3 linked regions of the Coturnix japonica genome follow. The protein of the gene in region 1 interacts with the protein of each later gene in a biochemical or structural test. Links are inferred from orthologs where the notes say so. Each region holds a gene or a part of one and is shown in the gene's direction. Other genes may lie near its edges.

What was found.
Region 2: the proteins of HNF4A (region 1) and NCOA6 form a complex in vitro, tested with the Homo sapiens proteins (2 studies listed by BioGRID). The link is inferred for Coturnix japonica from reciprocal best matches to the Homo sapiens genes HNF4A and NCOA6.
Region 3: the proteins of HNF4A (region 1) and SREBF2 form a complex in vitro, tested with the Homo sapiens proteins (2 studies listed by BioGRID and IntAct). The link is inferred for Coturnix japonica from reciprocal best matches to the Homo sapiens genes HNF4A and SREBF2.

What each region holds. Positions count from the first base shown.
Region 1 is NC_029535.1:4,768,676-4,775,534, reverse strand, and holds part of HNF4A (hepatocyte nuclear factor 4-alpha), read left to right. Parts: intron 1-2,298; coding exon 2,299-2,476; intron 2,477-3,246; coding exon 3,247-3,341; intron 3,342-5,111; coding exon 5,112-5,218; intron 5,219-6,810; coding exon 6,811-6,859. UniProt on the Homo sapiens protein: Transcriptional regulator which controls the expression of hepatic genes during the transition of endodermal cells to hepatic progenitor cells, facilitating the recruitment of RNA pol II to the promoters of target genes. Activates the transcription of CYP2C38.
Region 2 is NC_029535.1:415,568-423,047, forward strand, and holds the start of NCOA6 (nuclear receptor coactivator 6), read left to right. Parts: upstream 1-2,818; 5' UTR 2,819-3,013; intron 3,014-7,480. UniProt on the Homo sapiens protein: Nuclear receptor coactivator that directly binds nuclear receptors and stimulates the transcriptional activities in a hormone-dependent fashion. Coactivates expression in an agonist- and AF2-dependent manner.
Region 3 is NC_029516.1:45,157,201-45,164,536, reverse strand, and holds the start of SREBF2 (sterol regulatory element-binding protein 2), read left to right. Parts: upstream 1-2,509; 5' UTR 2,510-2,608; coding exon 2,609-2,690; intron 2,691-3,651; coding exon 3,652-4,014; intron 4,015-4,100; coding exon 4,101-4,282; intron 4,283-4,781; coding exon 4,782-4,922; intron 4,923-6,880; coding exon 6,881-7,102; intron 7,103-7,336. Other genes in the region: CCDC134 (coiled-coil domain-containing protein 134), read left to right, coding at 560-681, 841-925, 1,109-1,290, 1,441-1,512, 1,872-1,997.

The sequences.
Region 1 (6,859 bases):
TCTGGGGGTCCTACAGGACTGGCCCAGGCACAGTGTCACATCCCACAGCCTATGGGCAGATGAGCCAGCTGGGTTATGGGGCATTGGCTCTGTGCTGCATGTGCCCAGCACCTGGCAAGAGGCAGGTACCACACAAATTAAATATAACTCCAAATGAATGGCCATTAAACTCACTTCACCACAGCAGCCAGAAGTCCATGTTTCTGGCATTATAAAAGTAAGCTTAACTGGAAAGTTATCCATTAAGAAATTGTTCTATTTCTGGTCAGCTCTTAGATCAAGAGGGTGAGATTTCTTTGGTAACTTCCTTACCTGTTTGCAGCATGATACACACACTGCTAGAGGAGATTTATGTGAACCATCACAGATGAGCATAGTGATTGGGTATGGGTTGGCTCTGTTTTCCTCTCTTGCAAAGCTCCACATTTCAATGGAACTGAAAACCTAACATTCTTCCTGGAAGAAGCATCATCCAGCATCACCCAGCTGAGCCCTTGGAACGCAGTCAGAGGAAGGACCTGGGAGGAAAGCTGCTCGCTCTGCCCTGCAGGACTGAGGGACACATGGGCCCGGCACTGAGGAGCAGAGGAAGGAGCCTCCAGAGCTGGCACAGGAACACAGCTCCTCAACCCTGCAGTACAGCAGGGTGTGCCGGGCCTGGAGAGAGCAAACTGTGACTCAGGAGAGCAATAGAGGAAAGATGTGAGGAATTAGAAAGAAAGCAGGCAGGGAAGTGAGAGCTGCTGAAAGAGCTGGTGGAGATGCCCTGCATGAGCTCACTGCTGGGATCACAGCAGGCACCCCAGGTCACTTGTACCCACACATCTACATCAAGGGGCAGCATGAGGAGGTTGTGTACATCCTGCTGCAGAGCCCACTTCAACCCATTTCCTGCTAAGCAGAAACTAAAGTTGAAGCCCTACACCTGATGTACTTACCTTAACCCTCTACAACTCACAGTTCCCAGTCAGCAAAGGCACCCCCCATATCCTGGGACCAGCCCTCTCAGAGCATTTATCCTTCTGCAGCCCCTCTCTGATGGGAGCCAGGTGGGAGCAAATGCGGCCCTCCTGGGTAAGTGTTAATTGCATCCCTGCCAAACCCAATGGGGGTGTGGGGAAGGAGAAGGTGAGAGGGGAGATGAGGAGCACTGAGCTGTTCCCCATAGCCTTGGGGAGGTCAGTGCTCACCCCTCAAAGTGACTGCCAGGCCCTCAGAAATGCAAGGTGAATGTTCTCTGGGAGCCCTGTTGGTTGTACAATGCCCACCTCTGTGCTATGGGATGCAGGCTGGGTCACGAGCAGTGCCTGAGAGGTCCTCCTTGCTATTCTGTCATCCTCTGACCCTCTGTTGGCCTGCTGATCTCCACTGCTGTCCTTTGAGAGGGCTGTTAGGATTGACATATTCCGGTGTTAAAGTCTCAGTAGGTTTCTATGGCTTTGTAGATCCTAGGTGTATCATTTGCAAACGGGATTTCCTCTGAGTCCCATGCTGATACAAGAAAATGTGCTTGGGAGGGGACAATTAGATCAACTGAATAGTGAGCTGATCCCTTCAGCCTTGGGGTTTGTTTGGCTTGCCGGAGGGATTTTAGTCTAGGGCTTGTATGGTTTTGAGCCTTTCAGGTGTTCTCTCCTACACAGGCTGCTGCAATTCCCCACCCTCCCAAAAACACACTACACATACCAGTCCCCTTACAGCTTGTAAGGACTGCAGGGTGCATCTCACATCCCATACTCTGGAAGGTACCCAGCATACAGCCTTCGCCATGTTATAGTGCTGTCCTTTCTTTCTGGGTTGTCCCAGTCAGTCCCTCCTCACATGGTGGGTATTTGTCCATGAGTTCTCCAGCTGAAGCCATATGCAATTATTGTGCACTAACAGCCTCTTGAAGCCTCTTTCAGTGCAGTAACACCAACACTTCGCTATCAAACCAGCAGCTCACCCCAAGCTGTAAAACCTCAGCTCAAACTGCACCAACTCGTTCTCTGGCCATACTGCAGAGGCCCAAAGCATCTGCAAATCCCCCAGGAATTTTGGCTGTGCTTTGTGACAGCTGCAAACGGGTTTCTGTGTATCCTGAAGGCATTGCTGGAGTCGGGCCTTTGGGAAGAGCTGCTCACCCTGGCGCAGCAGCAGCATTAGCACATTCGAGATGCAAAGACTTGGGACACCCGGAGCACCCACCACTTCTTATGACCTGCTGCAGCTGCCCAGTTCTTTGGTAACTTGCTGGAAAAGGAGTTAGGAGTTGTCAGCTGTCTGTCTCACTGTGTTCTTGCTGTGTCCTTTCCCAAGCAGACACATCTCCATCAGAAGCAGCCAACCTCAACACTTCCAACAGCATTGGGGTGAGCGCACTGTGTGCCATCTGCGGGGACCGTGCCACAGGGAAGCACTATGGGGCTTCCAGCTGCGATGGCTGCAAAGGCTTCTTCAGGAGGAGTGTGAGGAAGAACCACATGTACTCCTGCAGGTAAGGGCAGAGGGGAACAAAACAGCACCCAGCAGCTGTGCAGCAAAGCTGAGTGCTGCAGCATGGCCCTTCATCTCCTCTGTATCCTCCAGTGTCTTCCCTGACCTCATCCTCTGGCGATAAGCTCTGGACTTAGTGCATGTGAAGCACACGGCTGCTTGCAAGGCAGGGCTGTTTAGGCTGTCTGTCCAAGAAGACCCCTCCCCACAGCTCTAGTGGGAAAAGCCAAGGCTCCCAGTTCTCCTGACACCAGATCTTTTATGACAGTGCTTAAAGATCTGCTTTCTGGCATCCATTTGAGCAAATCTTAGCTTGGGGCTTTCAAAAGTGTGTTACAAACAGGCCTTCCCAGAGCTACAGAACTCTGCATGGCTGGGAGCCCTTTCATAGATCTGTATGCCTTTGTCTTTGCAAGCTTGATCAATCAGCAGCTAATCAGAGCATATTTGCAAGTGAAATTCATGCTGCAAATGGCTACCAGGCTTATGCTGCATACGGGAGATCAGTGTAATGCACCGTCATCTGCAATCAATGTGGTGATACAAGTGGGTAGGGAAGGAGCTGGGTGCTTGCCATCTCCTCTCTGAAGCACAGGCAGCTCAGAGCTGCTTGTGTGCCAGCGATGCTGTCCAGAGGTCAGCAAGAACCTCCTGGAGCCAACACTGCCTTGGAGAGATGTGGGGACTTCAGCCCACTTCTACCCCTCCCCTCTCCCCCTCCCCTCTCGCAGGCTCAGTCTCACTGCTCCTCACTCCTCTGTTTCTCCCCAGGTTTAACAGGCAGTGTGTGGTAGACAAAGACAAAAGAAACCAGTGCCGATACTGCAGGCTTAAGAAGTGCTTCCGAGCAGGGATGAAGAAGGAAGGTGGGTGCCTTCCCCTCCCTGCCCTCAGCACAGACCAGCCCTCCCTCATGGCAGGACAGGGAGATGCTGGATGTTTCCATGAGCCCCAGGCAGGTCCAGCTGCCCACTTTAAGCCATACAGAGCCCTTGCACTCAGTTAAGCTTCAATCTCAGTTCCAGGGGCCCTATTCAGATGCCAAGAGAGAGCCACCAGCCCATGCCCATGTCCCAGAACTGACCACCCCCCCCCACCTTGTACCCACAAGTCACATCCACAGCTTTCAGCTTCTCACACTGAGATGCACGAAGCTCAGAAGAGGCCTGAGTCATTCAGGAGCACTTTGGGAGAACTGCTGTGTCACCTACAAATCCATGTCTGGACAGGTGGCTCCAGCAAAGCGTGCAACAACCCTTTTGCATCACAGTTTGCTCATGAGGATGTAGGTCCTTTAGGGCCCTGTGCAGAGAGCTGAGTTGTATCTGATACATCAGCCATAGCAGGGACACCTGGGGCTGCCGGTGGCCCTGTCATGCTAGTAGCCCCACTGCTGGCCCTGCTGGAGGAGAAACAAAAGTCCTGCCCCAAGGATGCCAGCCTGCGGGAAGGCCTCTGAGCAGGAACACGTCTTCCTATTACAGTAAATGAGGTGTTGCAAGGAACTGGGCTTGACTTTCCTTTAGAACACAGGAATCCTCCTCTCCCTGCAGAGCCCGCTCATCCCATGCCCGGAGCTTTGCTGCTGTCTGTTAATATTCAATAGAAGTTACATTAGGTGCATGACCAGCTAATACTGAGCAAACATTTGGAAAACATCATGGCGTGACTGAACTCGGGGGCCTGCTACTGATAACAAGCAGCATAACCTTGAGAGCTCCTATTTACAGCCGCTGACTGCAGGGCTTTGCTTCTGGCCCAGCCTCATTATTGCTTTTTATCAGGCAGATTTATACATTGAGAACGTATCAATCCAGAGAGCCGCCGGCCTAAGGCAGAGACTGTTCTGTTTCCCCTGCCATCGATCAATACCTTGTTTGAGCAGATGGCTTTGGGTGACTGACTTGGCTGTGGTGAGTTACGGCCAACCCACAGCCCCATGGCACAGAGAGACTCACAGCCCAGGCCCTTCTCTAGAGCACACCAAGTAGGGAGGAATGCTGGGCTCATACCTGCCTGGGCTCTCTCTACATTAAGGTATAAGGGTGCTCTGTGGCTCTGCATAGATGCATAGGAGCTATTCTGCATTTCCTTCCTTATTGAAGCTGAGAGAGATGTTTGCAAACTGCACCTACGCAGCACAAGAGCTTCCTAAATGCAGCTCACAGATGTTGCACGGACAGATAAAATAGCTGTGCACATACCTGGCTGCTTGATTTCACATATAAGCTATGGGCTGCCTGCATGAGCACAGCCGCACTCTCAGACATTCCCTTAAGAAACAGATCCTATACCTTGAAATCAAAACACTGAGAAACAGATCCCTTGAGATGAAACTCTCCCATTGAGCTCAGCAGGTTTTGAGCCAAGTGCTGGGGTTCTGGAACACCCCAGTCCCCACAAAGCCAAGTATAGACAGTGTGAAAAAAGAAGGACCAAACGTAATCAGCTCCTGCAGGCATCACGTCACAAACCAGACACAGCTGCACCTTTGCCTTGGCAGGCAGGGAAGCTGGGAAACTGCAGCTCAGGAAGTGGTCCAAAGCCTTGCGAAAGGGAACGCTGTGAGGCTCTGATAGCTTTTGCTGTGTGTTTCCATGAACAACCTGCAGCTGTGCCAAAATCCTCTCTTGCAGCTGTACAAAATGAACGGGACCGAATCAGCACCCGAAGATCAAGTTATGAAGACAGCAGCTTGCCCTCCATCAATGTCTTACTGCAGGCAGAAGTCCTGGCACAACAGGTACCTGTTCTTTCCTTTTTGGCCAATACAAAGCATCAGGCACTAGGGCTGCCGAGTAGTTAACAGCAGAGTCTTCAAATTACCAACTCCTTTCTAAGCAACTTATCTGCCAACTCAACACTGGTTTCTCAAAGGCATCCATTACCTGAAACCAGCCCTTCAATGCTCCTGGAACTGTGCTGCAATAATAGCCAATGGTCTGTTCTGCTCTGATTTCTGCTGGAAGAGAACTGGGCAGTGATCGCAATCCAAGGAGCTGTGGCCTTGCACAGGCAGCCTCCCATCCCCAGTGCCTGTCAGGAACTCCTGATTTCAGGTTGCCTGCTCAGTTTTATGAGCAATCGGTTTCATGCTTCTTTTTCTTTAATGTAGATATTCCTTCCAGTGTTTGCTTGAAGTTCCTGATTTCCACAAGCGTACTGCCAAAGCTCACATCCTGAGCATTCACCAAATGGAAAACAACTATTTAAACATCTATCCCTTTTTCCTCATGAAAACAAAGATGGGTTCAAGCTGGAGTGGCAGTCCGTGTTCATGTGGCCCTGCAGATGGCCCCCAGGACAGGGCTCTATGCTAGGGATGGCTGTAAGGACACCCCCTTCAAGGGGGGATATGCCAGAAGGGCTGTGGGCCAAACCTATACAGCAGTGGCACGTCCAAGCTCATCCCATGTCTCACTTCGTCCTACACAGGTCCTAATGTATTTACATACCCTCTGAAAATAACATTGGTGCTGCTCCCAGAGAGGTGAGATCATGGGGTCTCGAGTCACCAGACCTACAAGGGACGGGCATTCCTGGGGCCCTGAGTCCTGTAGTGACACGAGGTGGAGGGTTCGAGTGGGGTCTGCTGATAAAACTACAGCTATTGACAAATGTAAGGGAGCTGTCGCTCTCCCACAGAGCACATATATATTCATTAAACAAGGCAGACTCCAGCACACTAACTTCTATATGCCTGGCTAATTAGAACAAGATACTGCTGAGGAGCTGTTTTCTCCAAGATCTTGGGTCACTCACTCAGAAGGTTTTATTTGCTAAGCCTTCCGGGGCTTTCTGATTAGGGTAATACATGGTGAGATTTTTACAATCTTATTTATTCAATAATAGCTGTAGAGCTGGAGAACTTCCAGGTAACGCAACCTGAAAAAAACCTGGGGTGGCATTTGGACTCCATTTCCTTAGGGAGGTGGCAGGGTCTGAGCGGGCAGGAAGAGGACAGGAAGAGCTGATGTTGTACATGAGCAGAGAGGGCAGGCGGAGGGCAGTGATGGGGTTGAGTTAATTGCTTACAGAAGCATGAGGATGAAGTAGTGACGAAGGGCAAGTTGTCAGATGAGCTGGGTGACCAGCTAAGCGTGGGAACAGGGCAGGAAGCTGGTGCCTGAGCTTGAGATGTTCTTCCTTGGAGAGATGGTACCTGCAGAGCTCTTAGTGTATGAAATGTCCCAGTTTGCCTCTGCAGTCACGAATAATTCTCAATGCAAAAACATGGTAATCTCACTGCTGGTGTCTGCTAAACACAGCACCCAAACCTTCCCAGGCCTAAGATTTGTCTGTGCTCCTGCTGAGGGATCCTTTCTCTCTTCCCAGATATCATCCCCAGTCCTTGTGATGAATGGAGACATCCGAGGGAAGAAGA
Region 2 (7,480 bases), about 4.4 Mb from region 1:
CTGCCCACGTCTCTGTCACCACACTCACAGTTAAACCAAATCCTAGATAGCTACAGACTGGGATCAAAAGTAGATAGAAGGACAGCACGGCAGGTCTTCTCTCTAAGTGAGCCCTATGCCAGTATCAGAAGGTACATCATTCCATCCAAGTCAACATTTAAGTTTAGGGAATCTAAAACTAGCCATGAGGACACCTTTGCTATATAGCATTTTTCCTTTAAAAATACTGCCATATAGGAACGTATAACCAGAATCTTGTCTGACTGGCCTGAAAACCCCGTAGTCCCATTCATGGTGTGCAGAGGCCAGCTTTACCACACTCATGGTAAAGTTATTTCCACCTCTTTGATAGAATGGGATTAATTTTGGCCATGCAAGGCTTGTGCCAATCCTGGCCTTTTTCAAGTGCTCAGAAGTACAAGATAAAAAGTCACCAGAAATGGTGTTATGAAGCTCTAAATGGATGTGCAAGGCAGGGAGCTGCTGGTGAAAGAAGGGCTTTTTGCAGACCCGGAGTGAGTGGCACACAGCCTCCCTGCTCCACATAAGAAGGTTACAGCACTCGGGTGACCAGAGCAAACCTTAATGAGACGCACCAATACTGCACTGCCTGAAATCTCAATCTGGGCAGAATAATGCTCTATTTGTCATTGCTGGCTGTGGTTAACCCTGTGTTAACATAGATAATATAAAGTCAAGGAAAGGAAAAATAAAAAGAATTCTGCACTAATTTCTAGTGAGGACAAACAGCGGGATTTGGAGGGGGATTTCTGAGAAGGGCATTCTGATCTGACTGTGTGCGGGGTAGGGGAATATGTTCTGGGGAAGATCAAGCTGATAAGGGGAGAAAGTTAAACATATATGGGTAAAGAAGTGCCTCTTTGTACAGAAGAAATTATGGAGATGAGAAAGAAAGGCAGGTACTTTTCAGATACTGAATAAGCCTTTCAGCTTCCTCTTGCTTCCAGCTCTAAAGACATTAGCAGAGTAATACAAAGCCCCCAGAACACCTCATGTGAAAAGCTCCCGGCAAGCAAACTCCCCATCTCACCTTCTGACATTTCTGAGGAACTTATCAGGGTCTGGGAGGGTTTCTTCCCCAGGACTCAGATTCACAAGGCTTCAGACTTGGAATTGAGCTCTAGGACACAGATGTACCTTAGCCTGCCACATGCTGATCCCAGCATCAAGTTAATGTCCCAGCTGGAATCCCAAACCACCAGCGCAACTGCAAGCCATGCTGTGGGCTGTGCCCATCCTCTGCTGCCTCCCCCAGCCCCATTCTTCACAACTCCATGCCCCCACGCTTCTTCCCAAACCTCTGTGTGCCTCCGCTGGGGGAGAGGCAGCACGAAGGCTGTGCAGGGAGCTCCCACACCTCAGGCACCGGGGCAGATATACATGGAGAGAGGCACGAGCAGAAGAACCCCCTAGCAAAGAATTGCTGAGCAATTTGTCCTTCAGCAGGGAGTGTCTGAGCTGCCAGTGCTGCATAAACAGCCTGCTCGCAGCTTTCCACACACCAAAATTACTTGGCAGAAGCATCAGTCATCCAATAACGGTGGTGGTTTGCTTTCCCATGGAATGGATTCATACATCCATTTAAGAAATCCTATTTTGTTCCGTGTTGCTCTAGCAGCAAATGACAAGTGGGACAGCTGCATTTCACACGTTCTGCAAACAAACCGAGGTTTCCTCTTGTCGTGCCGTTCTGTGGGTCCATCGGGGCTGTGCCCAGCAGTGAGCTGGGGGCCGTGCACCCCAGGGAGCACAGCAGGACCTGCCCACATTGCTGTGCCAACTGTGCGGTTTTTTAAAGGACCAAAGACTGGATTTTCACAAGGGACTCCTGGTCATTGTAGTGGCCTTACACAGCAGCTGCCACGTGCTGCTTTTGTTTACCAGCGGAACATGGGTGCTCTTCAATGAAAGCGGCGACCGGCAGAAGAAAAAGTGACGTTTCTGCAGCGGCACCGCGGCGGTGTGAGCTCGGCATTGCCCACGTGCACTCAGCCTTGCAGGATATGACGTGAACTCCTGCGGGTCTCAGTGCCCCGCACGCTAAATCCTGCCAGACAGCCCCGTGTGCCCCTTCTCTGCTCGGGGACCAAAGCATTCCGTTATTCAAAAGCATCCCCACATTCTAGTGCCGTTCCGCACGACTCCATCCCGTTACACCTTTCCCTCAGCAGCGCAGGCCTCGCTCCCGCCGTGCGGCAGGAGCCGAGTATCGCTGCTGACACAGCCGCAGCGCCGGGGGCTGCCCCGGACCCGGCCGACTTTGAACGCAGGCTCCCAGAGCAGGTGGCACGGGAAGACACGCAGGCGGGTTCGAACGTCTGCAGAGACTCCTGCAGCACACGGCGCAGGCCGTGCCGGGCTCGGGCGCCCTCAGAGCGGCTTCTTCACTCGGCGGCGTTCGGCGCCAGCCCGGGGACCGCCCGCGGCCGGGGCCTCCCGGCAAAGATGGCGGCCGCTCCCCAGAGCGCCCCGCAGGCAGCGCCGGCCGCTCCCCCGGGCCCGGCCGGACCCGGTTCCGACAGCGCCGCGGGAGGGACGGCGCCGCGGCCCCGCGGACGCCTCGCGGAAGGCGGCTCCCAGTGCGCGGGCCGGGACCGGGGCCGCGCGATGCCGCCGGCAGCGCCCGCTCGGCGCGGAGCGGCGATGAAGGAGAGCGGAGACCGCGGGGCGGCGACGGCGGAGCGCGGAGCAGCTCCGTCCCGCACGGCGGAACCCCCCGTCCCGGCGGATCCCCCCTCCCGGCGCAGCGCGCTCGGACGCAGGCGCGGGCGGCGCGGGGCGGGAGGTCACGTGGCGCGCGGCGGAGCGGCGGGAGGCGGAGCGGCGGCCTGCGGAGGGTGTCCGGGCGCCCCAGGGCCCACCGCGACCTCCCGCCCCCGCTGTCACGGGGCGCGGGCTCCGCTCGCCCCTGGTCGCACGGGCGCTCCTCGCCCTCCCCCGCGCGGTCGCGGAGCGGGTCACGGCGGCGGCGGAGCGGCGACACCGGCACCAGGTGAGGGCGGGGCGGCCCGCGGCCTCTCGGCGGCACGGGCGGGACGGGGGTGGCGGGGCGGAAGCGGCGGCCCGGAGCGGAGCGGGCCGGGACGAGCCGGCCCGACGCGGCGCGGAGTCGCCCGAGCGCTCACCGTGCTCGGGGCCGCCGCCGGGGGGGGGGGGTTGCCGGGCCGCGCTCGGCCGCAGCGTTCGAGGGGTGCCCTCGGACGGGAGCCCCGGGCCGGGCCGCGTCGTCGGGCCCCTCTCGGGCCGCGGCCCGAGCCCCGGGGCTCCGCCCGCAGCTGCGGCCGCACCGCGGCCTGCGGAGCTCTCGGGCCGGGCCCAGCCGGCGGTGCGCAGCCCCGGGAGGAGGAAAGCGGCTCTCGCTAAAGCCGCCTGAAGCCGCTGTCGGCTCGGGCGCTGTTTCTGGGGTCGGTTCTTCGGCGGGTGTCACGAAGATGTCAGTGACGGTGCGCTGACGTTTCTTTGAGCCCCAGCTTTTGTTTGAATTTCTCTGTAACTCTCCAGCGTAGCGATCTTCTGGTCCTGTAGTCTCGGTGTGTCCCGGCCTTTCTCCAAGTTCGGTTTCTTTCAGAAAGCCCGACCTCCCTTTCTTTCCCCTGGCTGGTGCGGGAGGAGCGGTGCTGAGCTGTGTGCCCCGGGTCGGGGGCTGCTCGGCCCGCTCTGTGGGTCTCGCTGCTTACATCAGGCAGTGTGCAGTAATGTTATGCTGTTCTAGTAAAGAAATAGCTGCTTCTTTTGAAATGTGTGGAAGAACATGAGAAAGCCAGGCCTCTACCTGCGTTTGTAAACTGAGTATTAATGCTTTCACTTTTCAGCTGCTTAAATGCTTGAAACATGGGGCGATAGCGTTCCGATGAACATTTGTACTATCGCTCAGTTCTTAGCTGTGGTACTGCCAAAGATCGCGTACCTTTGTAGCAGATGTTAAACGTCTTAAACTCATAACTAGGTCATTGAATGGGTTTCCAGCATGTTTTTAGTTTTGAATACTGTACTGATTGCTTTTGGAAGAAAACTGGAGTTGCAGCTACACAGATACAGTGTGTTTAAGAGTTTTGCAAAGGCAGAAGGTTTGCTGCCAAGGACATTGAGGAGCGAAGGTGGCTGTAACAGTTGGATTGCAGTGGAAATAGAGCTGTTACAGGTCATTGGTGCCCCTCTGAAGGGCAGGGAACTTGGTGTTGGTGTCTCTTTCAAAACCATGTGGCCTCTATTGAGAAATACAAATGCGACGATGTACAGGGAGCTCCCACTGGATGAACAGCAGGGCTTAAAGCTGAGAGTCTGCATAGCAGAAATTGTGTTCAGACAAACTTGTTCCTTAACTCTGGCCAGAGCAGAAGCTATGGGAAAGAATGCTTAGAATTGGGAAAGCAAAGGGGCAGAAATTGAAAGATAAATAATGCTAGACATATACAGACCTGAGGCAGGGGAGGTCCATCCCCGTATTCCAGGTGAGAGGTTTTCCATCTGGCTGACAGGTGGAACTTCTGTCATGTTTGCTTTATGGAGGCAGTGGTTGCTGTGTGTTCTGTCCGCCTCTTGCTCTGCCCTGTTTGCAAACTTTTGGTGGCCTCGGAGTGAATCAGTTGTTTTGCAGCAGCAGCTGCCCCACACAGGTGACATTTCAGCCCCCACAGCCTGTGTATGGCTTAGATTGTGCATCTTGGTAGCTGAAGGCTTCCCTCGGGATGATGTGTGACACTGAATTATTTGTGGCCTAATCAGAAGGAAAGGAGTGGGGGAAGGCTGGGCTTTGGATTGCACAGAGAGGAGCTAGAGGAAACTTTGCAGAGGTCTGAAAGCATAGGTAAAAACCATCTGCCAGCAGGGCTTGTTGCCCTTGCAATGTGTCCTGTGTCGTTAGTTGGTGCTGCTGACAAGCCTCCTGCGTTTGGAACAGCACTTCCAAGTCTGGTGGTAATGTCCTTAAAGTAGGAACAAGAGATGAATTCTGGTGTCTATGTATGGGGACCTTGATGTCGTGTCAGAGTAAATATCTCTTCATGTATTTAGGGAAGTGAAGGAGGAGCAGTGTGCGGCAGAGCTCACCTGAGGAAGGGAGGTGCTCAGTGTGACAGCCATCGTTCTGGGACTGAGGGGGCTGCTCCCTTCTGCAGCTTCAGGGAGCAGAGGGCTTTGGGTCAGATTTGTACAGCAATTAAAAAGTACAGTAGAAGAGCTGTGCCTTGTCTAAATTGATTTGTCCTTATATAAACTGATACTGGAACAGAAGATGTATGCCTCCGGTGGCGCAGTGGTTAAAGACGCCACTTTGCAACACCAGAGGCCCTGGGTTCGAATCCCCTGTGTTGCAAGTGGTAGAAGTGCCGCTCTGCTACACAGAGGCTCGAATCCCGGGGGGTTGGACTCGATGATCTCTAAGGTCCCTTCCAAACCCGCACGAAACTATGAAACTATGAAGATGTGAGCTGTGTATGTGAGAGTCTGAATTTTAAGTCTGCATTTTGTGAAAAGGAATGATTCAGTTACTCTCACCAAAAGATACATGCTGCTAAGTTCTCCAAGTCCTGTGTGCGTCCTTTTAGTTTTGTAGTTTTTACTCTTTTAATAGTTAAATATACGTGACCTTCCGAGACATGGGAACTGGTATGGGGCTCCATCTCTGGGCAGTTTCTTACAGAGCCTGCATCACATGTAAACCCGTGTCCTGCACTCCTGCAAGGCACACCCATAAACCTCCTTCCTTACTGTAAGGTACAAGGAAAGCATGGAGAATTATTCTTGCTGGTGAAGAATAGCACTGGACAAGAAATAGCTGTGCAGCATAGGAAGGTGTTCCTTCTGAGGTTTTCTTCAGGCCCTCTGTCCATCCCACACTAATACACTGCTAATTCTTTTGCATCTGTTTTACCATAGAGACCACAGTGTGGCTCTTCATGTGACAATACTTCCAGGATTTCGTTTTGCCAAAAGCTTTAGAGAGTGCAGAATGTACTGCAAGCTTTTATATATCAGGAGAGTCTCAGAACAACCTCGATTTCATCAAAAGCTATCCCTGCTTAATGTGGCATTCATGATTTTGGTCATTTTCTTTCTCTTCAGATCAAGCGTTCTCCTTCCTGAGCACCTGAGTTACTTTTAAGCCATTTACATTATGTTTAATTTTTTTCTTCATACTTCACAGTGTCTCGGGATTTTATAAATCTTAGTGAAATGTAATGGGCTTCCACTGCACAGAGAAGAGCCTGGTGAAGAGTACTGCACTATATAAGAGGTGGAGGTTCCAGTCAGAGTTCAGTTCAGGACTGACAGTCACAGGAATACTTGATTGTTGTACCAGCATTTATGAACATCAGCGAGGGTTTTGGGGATAAAAGCCACATGTGGGGCTTGTTGGCCCAGACTGCTTTGGCTGGTGGGGATTGGTTCCACCTGAGATAAGAAGCCCGTCACCACCACACATTGACTGGGTTGCTACTTAACAAGGGGGTTTCTCACAGCCTTCAGGAGATGAGATCAAATGGTTTCTTGTCAAGATGCATCTAAGGTTAAATAGCTTCTCATTTTACTTACTTGCCAATTGCATTGATGGGCCTTAATGAACAGTTACCAACTGCACAGTGCTGTCATGGTGTTTATCTATTACAGGCTGCGGTACATTACTTCTAGATAGCAATATCCTTAATGTCTGATGTTAGTTACACCGTGCAGTCTGCAGCTTCTACAAGGAGTGCCTGTGCTGCGTGGGCTCACGCAGGGCTGGGAACCTCCTGGGGTCCTGTTCAGCTCTTACACATGGGGATCTCTCCACGTGGTTACTTGGCTTGCTCTGGAGTTAGCACTGGGTTTTCTTTTTAGAGCAGCCTTGGTGATGGAGGCTGTTGGCTTCTGCTGAATTAAGAATGGCTGAGTTGCCCAGATGGAGAAGTGTCCACAGCAGAATGGCTGTAGCTGTGGAGTTTAAGCACAGCTCACGAACTTCAGCTTCATAAAGCCTTAAAAATGCAAACATTCCACTAAGCAACGTGCATCAAAATGCACGTGCACATTTGTTGCAGCCATCCATGGTTTTCCATCTTTCAGAAAAACACAGGTTTTACTTGTTTTGTGCCTGAAGGCTGTGGAAGTGTAGTGGAAAAATACGGGAATAGAGGAAAGCCGTGCATCAGGATGAATGGAGCCTGCCTTCTTGTGGGCTTTGCTTCATTGACATTTGAGCAAGCATCAGATCAAATTGGTCCTTTTTATGTTGACTGAACTCTTTACGGGGTTGTCTGGATGGATTCTTTGCTGTCTGTGAAGGTACCTGTTCAGTGCCTGGACACTCCCAAGGTCTCTGTCAGATCACTTACTGTAAGGAAAGCTGGAGGAAATGCTCTAATGCTAATGAGTGACTTTCTGTAACCAAACTTGATATTGCTGAGTGCTCAGGGGAACAGAGGCAGCAGCATCCAACATCCTCCTCCCAAGCACCTTGTTCTGCTCTGCAGCCACTGGG
Region 3 (7,336 bases), on another chromosome or scaffold:
GAGGCCGTGGAACACTTGAATGTGAGGAGATGGCACAAAGGGGATGGAAGAGAGAGGAGGGGAGGGCCCTAAGGCTATGCTTATTGCTAGCAACATGGGAACAAGCTGAGCTAAGTGTCACATGGCTGCTGGGCATGACCTTGAGCAACCTGATGTGGCTTTGGTCCTGCCTGGAGCAGGGCTGGCACTGCATGCCATATTGCCCCATATTGCCACCTGTTAGTTCTTGGGCAATACAAAGCAACAGTCTGTGCTCAAATGTTGCCCCAGCATCAACCAGCACTGCTGAGCACTTTCCTCATCACCCTTCTGTAGGAGGGAGTTGCTAATGAGATGTCAGGGCCTGTAATGAAATGAGTTTTTCAGGTGGTGTCTGAAGAAGACCTCATGCAGAGCTCTTCTTTCTGCCCCAGTGTGCTGGGTGTTAGCAAGCATCCTGCTGGGGTATCTGGAAACCCACCTCTTGGCCCCGAAACCCCACTCTCAGAACTGGGCTGTCTTTCTGGGAGCAGTCTGTGAACTCGCTCAGAGCCCCACAGTGCCCTTGACAACACTGCAGATAAGAAGCTGTTCGAGGTGAAGCGCAAGGACCAGATGAATGCCTTGAAGAACCTCATTGAGCTCAATGACATCAACCAACAGTATAAAATCATTGACATCATGCTCAAGGGACTCTTCAAAGTGAGTGTGGGATGGGCTCAGGGTGCTGTGGTGCAGGGGATGGGTTTGGGGAGAGTGGGCAGAAGAAGTAGGGCACATAGATGAGCAGGAAGGGGAAGGGAGGAACACAGCGGGGCACCCCATAGGTTAAGAGGGCAGTGACCCCAAGGACTCTTGTAGGTGCTGGAAGACTCCCGGGCTGTACTCATAGCTGCAGACGTGCCTCCGGATGGGCCTTTCCCCCAGGATGAGAAGCTGAAGGATGGTGAGTGCTCCATATTGCTTAACCCCCTTAGCTAAGATGTCACAGCCTGTCTTCTCTCCCACTCCTGCCCCTGGGGATTGTCCCACGTCCACCCTTGGTGTCCCATGGCTGGTGATGCCCCGAAGCTGGCATTTGGGGCGTGTGGGATGTGCTGCTGATGGGGCTGGTTCCTCTCGTCCTCAGCCTACTCCCATGTGGTGGAGAACACGGCCTTCTTTGGGGACGTCGTGCTGCGCTTCCCCAAGATTGTGCACCACTACTTCGACCGCAACTCCAACTGGAACAACCTGATCCGTTGGGGCATCAGCTTCTGCAACCTGACGGGCGTCTTTGATCAGGGCCCCCACTCCCAGCTCCTGGGGCTGGTACGGCCTTGAGGCCACTAATGGGGGTCTGCAGGGGGTTGTGGGAAGACAGAGGATTTGGGGCTGGTGGGGACTGAAGTGTCTGAGGGATGAGGGGTGGGAGGAGGCGGTGGTGATGGTCTCCCACGGGGGATTTGCTTTGCTTCACAGATGGCTCAGGAGCTGGGCATCAGTGAGAAGTCCCCCAATTACCGCAACCCCTTCAAAGCTGATCACTCTGAGGTAGGGTGGCCGAGCCACATAGTCCTCTTCTGTGATTTCACTGGGTTTTGGATGGGCTTTGAAGGGTTTTTATTGTGTTCTGCTTGTGTTTTTGTCGGGCTCTGGTTGGGTTGTTACTGCTTTTTTGTTGGGCTTTGGAGGGTTTTGGTTGTGTTCTGATTGGGTTTCAGTTGTTTTGTTGGGCGTTTTGCTGTGTTCTGGTTGGATTTTTACTGGGTTTCTGTTGGGTTTTGAAGGGGTTTTGTTGGGTTCTGGTGGGTTTTTGGTTGGTGCTCCACAGGAGATGCCGTGCTCCACTTCCACTCTCCCTCAAAACACTGAATTTATCATTTCCTTTGTACTTCTAACTCCCACCCCAGTTCTTCCCCAGCGCCGACACCTTCCAGAAGGCGCTTCGCGAGGAGGAGAAGCGGCGCCGGAAGGAGGAGAAGCGCAAGGAGATCCGCAAGGGGCCGCGCATCTCCCGCTCGCAGTCTGAGCTGTAAAGGCCCGAGTGGGCCGGGACCTGCACCGATGCGGCCGCTCCCCCCCACGGCGGGGCCGGGGATGCCCCGTCAGCCTCTCCTGTGAGTTTTGGGGTGGATTTTTGTTTTCCAGCCGGTGCGGCCCAGTGGTCCCACGGCCCCAAAGTGGGGCCGTCCCCGAGCGGCGGGCGCTGGGGCAGCAGCCGTCAGCTGGGAGCAGGGCCGTGCGTTGGGGACGGGGCGTGCGTTGTTTTTCTGGAATAAAGCAGAACGGTTCTTATTTTTTCTACGCCGAGGCTTCTTGCTCGCTGCCATGGAGAGGGCGCGGGGCGGGGCGCGGGGCTCACGCTCGTGGGCTCGGCCACGCCCCCTCATGAATATGCAGCGCGGAAGGCAGGGGGCGTGGTCTCGCATGCAAATCGCAGCTGCTGATCGCCGACGCGCCATCACGCCACGCGGCGCTGCGCGCTCCTATTGGCTACCGCCGGCCTGGTCCCAGTGACGGAGCGCGGTGGGGGCGGGGCCGGGCAGGTGGGGGCGGGGCCGGGGCGGCGCAAGATGGCGCGGGGCCGGCGGCGCCGGGCTGCTTCCTCCGCTTAGAGCGGGCGGGGAGCGGAGCGGGGCTGAGCGACATGGAGAGCGGCGAGCTGGGCGCCGAGGGCATGGAGACCCTGACCGAGCTGGGCGACGAGCTGACGCTGGGCGACATTGACGGTGAGCGCGGGGCCGGGCGGGGGCGCGGGGCTCGGCGCTGTGCCGCGGGTGGGCTGCGTGGGGGTGCGGGGGAGCCCCCGCGGCGCGGGTCGGCGGGTTTGAGTCATACGCGTGACGTCACGGCGAGCAGCGTGACGTCAGAGGGCAGCGGGGGACGAAGCGGTAATTAGCGCCGATCCTAACGAGTGCCCCGGGGGGGCCCTGTGTCCAAGCACGGAGTGCGCTGGAGCGCATCCAACGCGTTGTGTCCGTCCCTTACCTGCGTGGGGCCACCTGCTCGCAAAATGGCAGTGTATCGAGTGGGAAAGCGCCGTGTCGTGCGGCGTGGGTGCGGCGTGGGGCGGTGTAGGGACAGCCCTACTGCCGGTCCGCTGCCATAAACCACACTGCTGCTTCCGTACCCATGTACAGCCCCTGGGGTATCTGTGCCGCGTGGGGTCCCGTGCGCCTGGTGTTGGGATGGGCTCAGGGGGAGCTCAGGTGGTCAGTGGAGGCAGCTGGAGGGAAGCTTTGGCCGTGGGATCTCCTTAGACGTACCCGTGCATTTCTTAGCTCCAGTTCTGCACAGCGCCGTTTCCTTTAGCCTGTTTCCCCTGTTTCCCTGTATACCTGAAATTACCCCAAGTCGGGGTGAGTCACCACCCGCGTGTCCCTGTGGGGCTCCGTGGGCAGAGGATGGGCGTTGTGTGTGGCAGCCCCGGGTGGGAGGACGGCTCCTACTGAAGTCATGGGGCTGCTCATCCTCCTCCTCCGAGCGTGAAGCTGGGATGGGGATTGGACAAATGGCAACCAGCTGAAAATGTTGGATCTCGAGCTCTGGGAGTGTTTTGACACTGAATTACTGGCTACCTCTGGGGCTTCTGAAGCTGCCGCTTCCTCCTGTGCTCACTGCTGGCCTCTGAGTCCTGACCCCGTGTCCATGGAACCAACCCGCCTCAAACGTTCCTTTTCCTCCTTGCAGAGATGTTGCAGTTCGTCAGCAACCAGGCAGGGGACTTCCCAGACCTGTTTTCGGACCCTCTGTGTGGCACCTTCCAGAGTGGTGGCGGTGGTGGTGGCACAGGCAGTGGGGCCCTGGATGCCACGCGGCCTTATGGCCAGGCCCAGCAGCCCTTCCCTCCGCCTGCTGCCTCCCCACAGCTGCAGAGCGTCCCAGTGAAGGTGCCCCCGACCCCGCAGCGCTCTGCCCCGCTGCTCCAGCCTCGGCTCCAGCCCCAGCTCCAGCAGCAGACGGTGATGATCACCCCCACATTCAGCTCTGCGCCCCAGACCAGGATCATCCAGCAGCCCGTCCTATACCAGAACGCGGCCACGAGCTTCCAAGGTAGCGTTGGGGTCAGTCGTATCCACGGCAGAAAGCATAGAAGGCCTCAGCATGGTGCCATCCCTGACGTCTCTCCCTCTTTGCAGTTCTCCAGCCTCAGGTGCAGAGCCTGGTGACGTCCCCCCAGGTGCAGCCAGTCACCATCCAGCAGCAGGTGCAGGCGGTGCCGGCCCCACGTGTACTGACGCAGGCTGCCGGCGGCACCATCCAGGCACTGGCACCTGCCACAGTCCAGACGGTGGCAGCACCACAGGTCCAGCAGGTGCCGGTAAGTGGATGTGAAAGAGCCTGGTCCATCCACATAGCTCAGGGGTGGAAAAGATCACTAGGATCCAATCGCCAGCCCACCCCCACCATGCCCACTGACCGTGTCCTCAGTGCCACATCCACATGGTTCTGGAGCACCTCTGGGGCTGGTGACTCCTCCACCCCCCTGTGCAGCCTGTGCCACTGCAGCACTGCTCCTTTGGAGAAGAAATTTTTCCTAATATCCAACTTGAACCTCCCCTGGCACAACTTGAGGCCATTCCCTCCCGTCCTGTACCTCACCCATGTGTTGTACCCTCAGGGTTCCCCCAGCTAACACAGGGAACTTGTTACAGGCGAGGGCAGAGGAACCCTTTCATCAGCTCCTTGGTGGTTTTGAGTACTGGGTTACTACTGGTCTCTGATGTCAGCACCATGGGTTGTCACTGCCTCTGACCACTGAGAGGAACAGAGCAGTGTGTGCCCACTTATCCCCTCACCTCTGGCTGTTCCCCATGCAGGTTCTGGTCCAGCCTCAGATCATCAAGACGGACTCCCTCGTGCTGACCACGCTGAAGGCAGACGGCAATCCTGTTATGGCTGCGGTGCAGAACCCAGCGCTCACTGCGCTCACCACTCCTATCCAGACCACAGCTCTGCAGGTAACACTGTTAATACTCTTCTTCCTCCCCTCGGTCACGTTATTTCCTAATACAAGGAGGTTTGGTGTTCGGAGTTCTCCAGTGGTGTGGATGGGAGGGGTTCCAAATGCTGTTCTGAATGTGTCCAACGTGAGTAATGTGCCACTTCTGCTGAGGCTGAGAGCACAGACTGTGTGTGTTTTTGGCAGCCTCCTCTGGCCGGTAAACACAGAGCAAGGGCACGTTCCTGTTTACCTTTTCCTGGCATTAGTAGGAGAGGAGTATGACCAAAGAATTCCATGTGGTTTTTAACCTCTGTGAGAGATGCTTAAAGCCAACTGACTCGGGGTGGCTGTGGATTTTCCTTTCTCCCTCCATAGAATCCAATGGCAAAACATTAGATGTAAAAACTAATTAAACTGCTTCTCAGAGGGAATGTGCTGCAAGGGGTTGGGATCATCATTCAAGATGGCAGCAGTGCTTCTGGGCCATGACTTATCAGCTTGGAGATGCTTGTGTGCTAAAGAGGCTTTTATCACAGCCTTCTGCATTCTGCAAAGGTCCTTCTGTTCTCATACTTGCTGCTGGAGATAAGCTTGCAAGCCTGGACTTAACTTCTGTCTGCATAGCACAATGGGGTTCCTGTGCCCTTGGTAGCAGCCAGACCAAAGTTTTCAGTTTACTTGCTGTTAGGTCTCACTTTGTCATGGAGGTGAGGCTCATGTGATTGTGCCTGGCAAATACACAACCCACAAAGCACTCTGAATGCATTGAAATATGCTGGAAATTAACTGAGGAAAGACAGAATACTTTAACTCATTTTTTGCCAAAAGCTTTAAGCGAACCTGTGTTCATTCCTATCCCAGTTCAATAACTATTTCAGAATAAAAGTTGATTCTTAATTTGCTTGGGGCTAAATTAATCTCGCCTACATCGGTTTGATTTCTGGTATAAATAACTGCTTTTCCATAACAACTTCTCTGATTCTGAGTGTGCTTCAGAGACCAGTTGTACCTTTCCCAATCTTACCTTACTGGTTGGAGTGATCTAAATGGTTTCCTTTGGTCTGACTGTCCTAGAAGCCCCTCTGTGCAACCGTCCTGGTGGGATTCACCATCTTTTCTCCTATAGCACGTGCTGCTTTGGCCAGGGGGAGATCGTTTATTTAAATTTAAACCATAGAATCATTAAGGTTGAAGAGACCTCTAGAATCACCTTGTCCATCTGACAGCCCATCCCCACCATGCCCACTGACCATGTCCTCAGTGCCACATCCACACGGTTCTGGAATCCCTCCAGGGCTGGTGACTCCACCAGCTCCAGTCCGTCCCATCTTATTACTGTTTCCTGGGAGAATATGCCAACCCACCATGCTACAACCTCCTTTCAGGCCATCGCAGAGAGTAATAGAAGCCCAAGCTCTTCACATCAGTGTGCATCAGTCTGCCTTAATACCTCATATGAAGGTATTTTATAGCTTAAAGTAGTTAGGGATCTGTTTCTTCCCCTGTGCAATCTAATTCAAATCCAAGCCAGAGTTTGTCTTTACGCAATCAGAACATCTCTAATATTACAGGTTCACAAGCTGCATTACCAGTTGTTGGCCCAGTGACTTTCTTTGTGCATTTGGAGATGTGGGGTAGAAGGACTCTAAAGGCAGGAAGGAGCTTTGGTCCATGTCTCTCTTTAAATTGTGGATGATCAGAGCGTGGTATTAGTGAAAGGGTGTTGGGGTGATGATACTCGTGGAGAAAAGAGATCTTTTTACTATGGGAAGCAGTGTGGATGTTTTTTCTTATGCTGCTGTTCCCATGCTTGTGCCAGCTAAGGAACATAGGAAGACATGGGATAACTCTTCCTTTTTGAGCTCTGTGGACTTCTCTTGATTCTGCTTTTGTTTACTCTGTTTGCTCTGGGCACCATAATCTTGTCTATATTGGCTGACTGCTGGTGACACTTGCTGTGTGTGGTCTCTGTAGACCCTTGTTGGGAGCAATGGAACCATTCTGACCACAATGCCAGTGATGATGGGACAAGAAAAGGTGCCTATCAAACAAGTTCCCGGAGGTGTCAAGCAACCAGACCCACCTAAGGAAGGAGAAAGGAGAACAACTCACAACATCATTGAGAAGCGTTACCGGTCCTCTATAAATGACAAGATCATTGAGCTGAAGGACCTCATCATGGGGACAGATGCCAAGGTAAAAGATGTGCAATGAGAGCAAGCGTGGTGTCAGGTGCTCATTGTGTCCTCAGGTGCTCATTGCTGTATTCAATGGAGCAGATGGGTACAGACTGCTGTTAGAAGTATGCACGTGCGTGTTGTGGTCAGATGAAATTTAAAACACTGTCTTCTTGCACAGAGCTTTCCAGTTCGATTCCAGTAGATACTGAGATGTCTTGAAACCACCTTGGACCATGTTTGACCTGTGCAG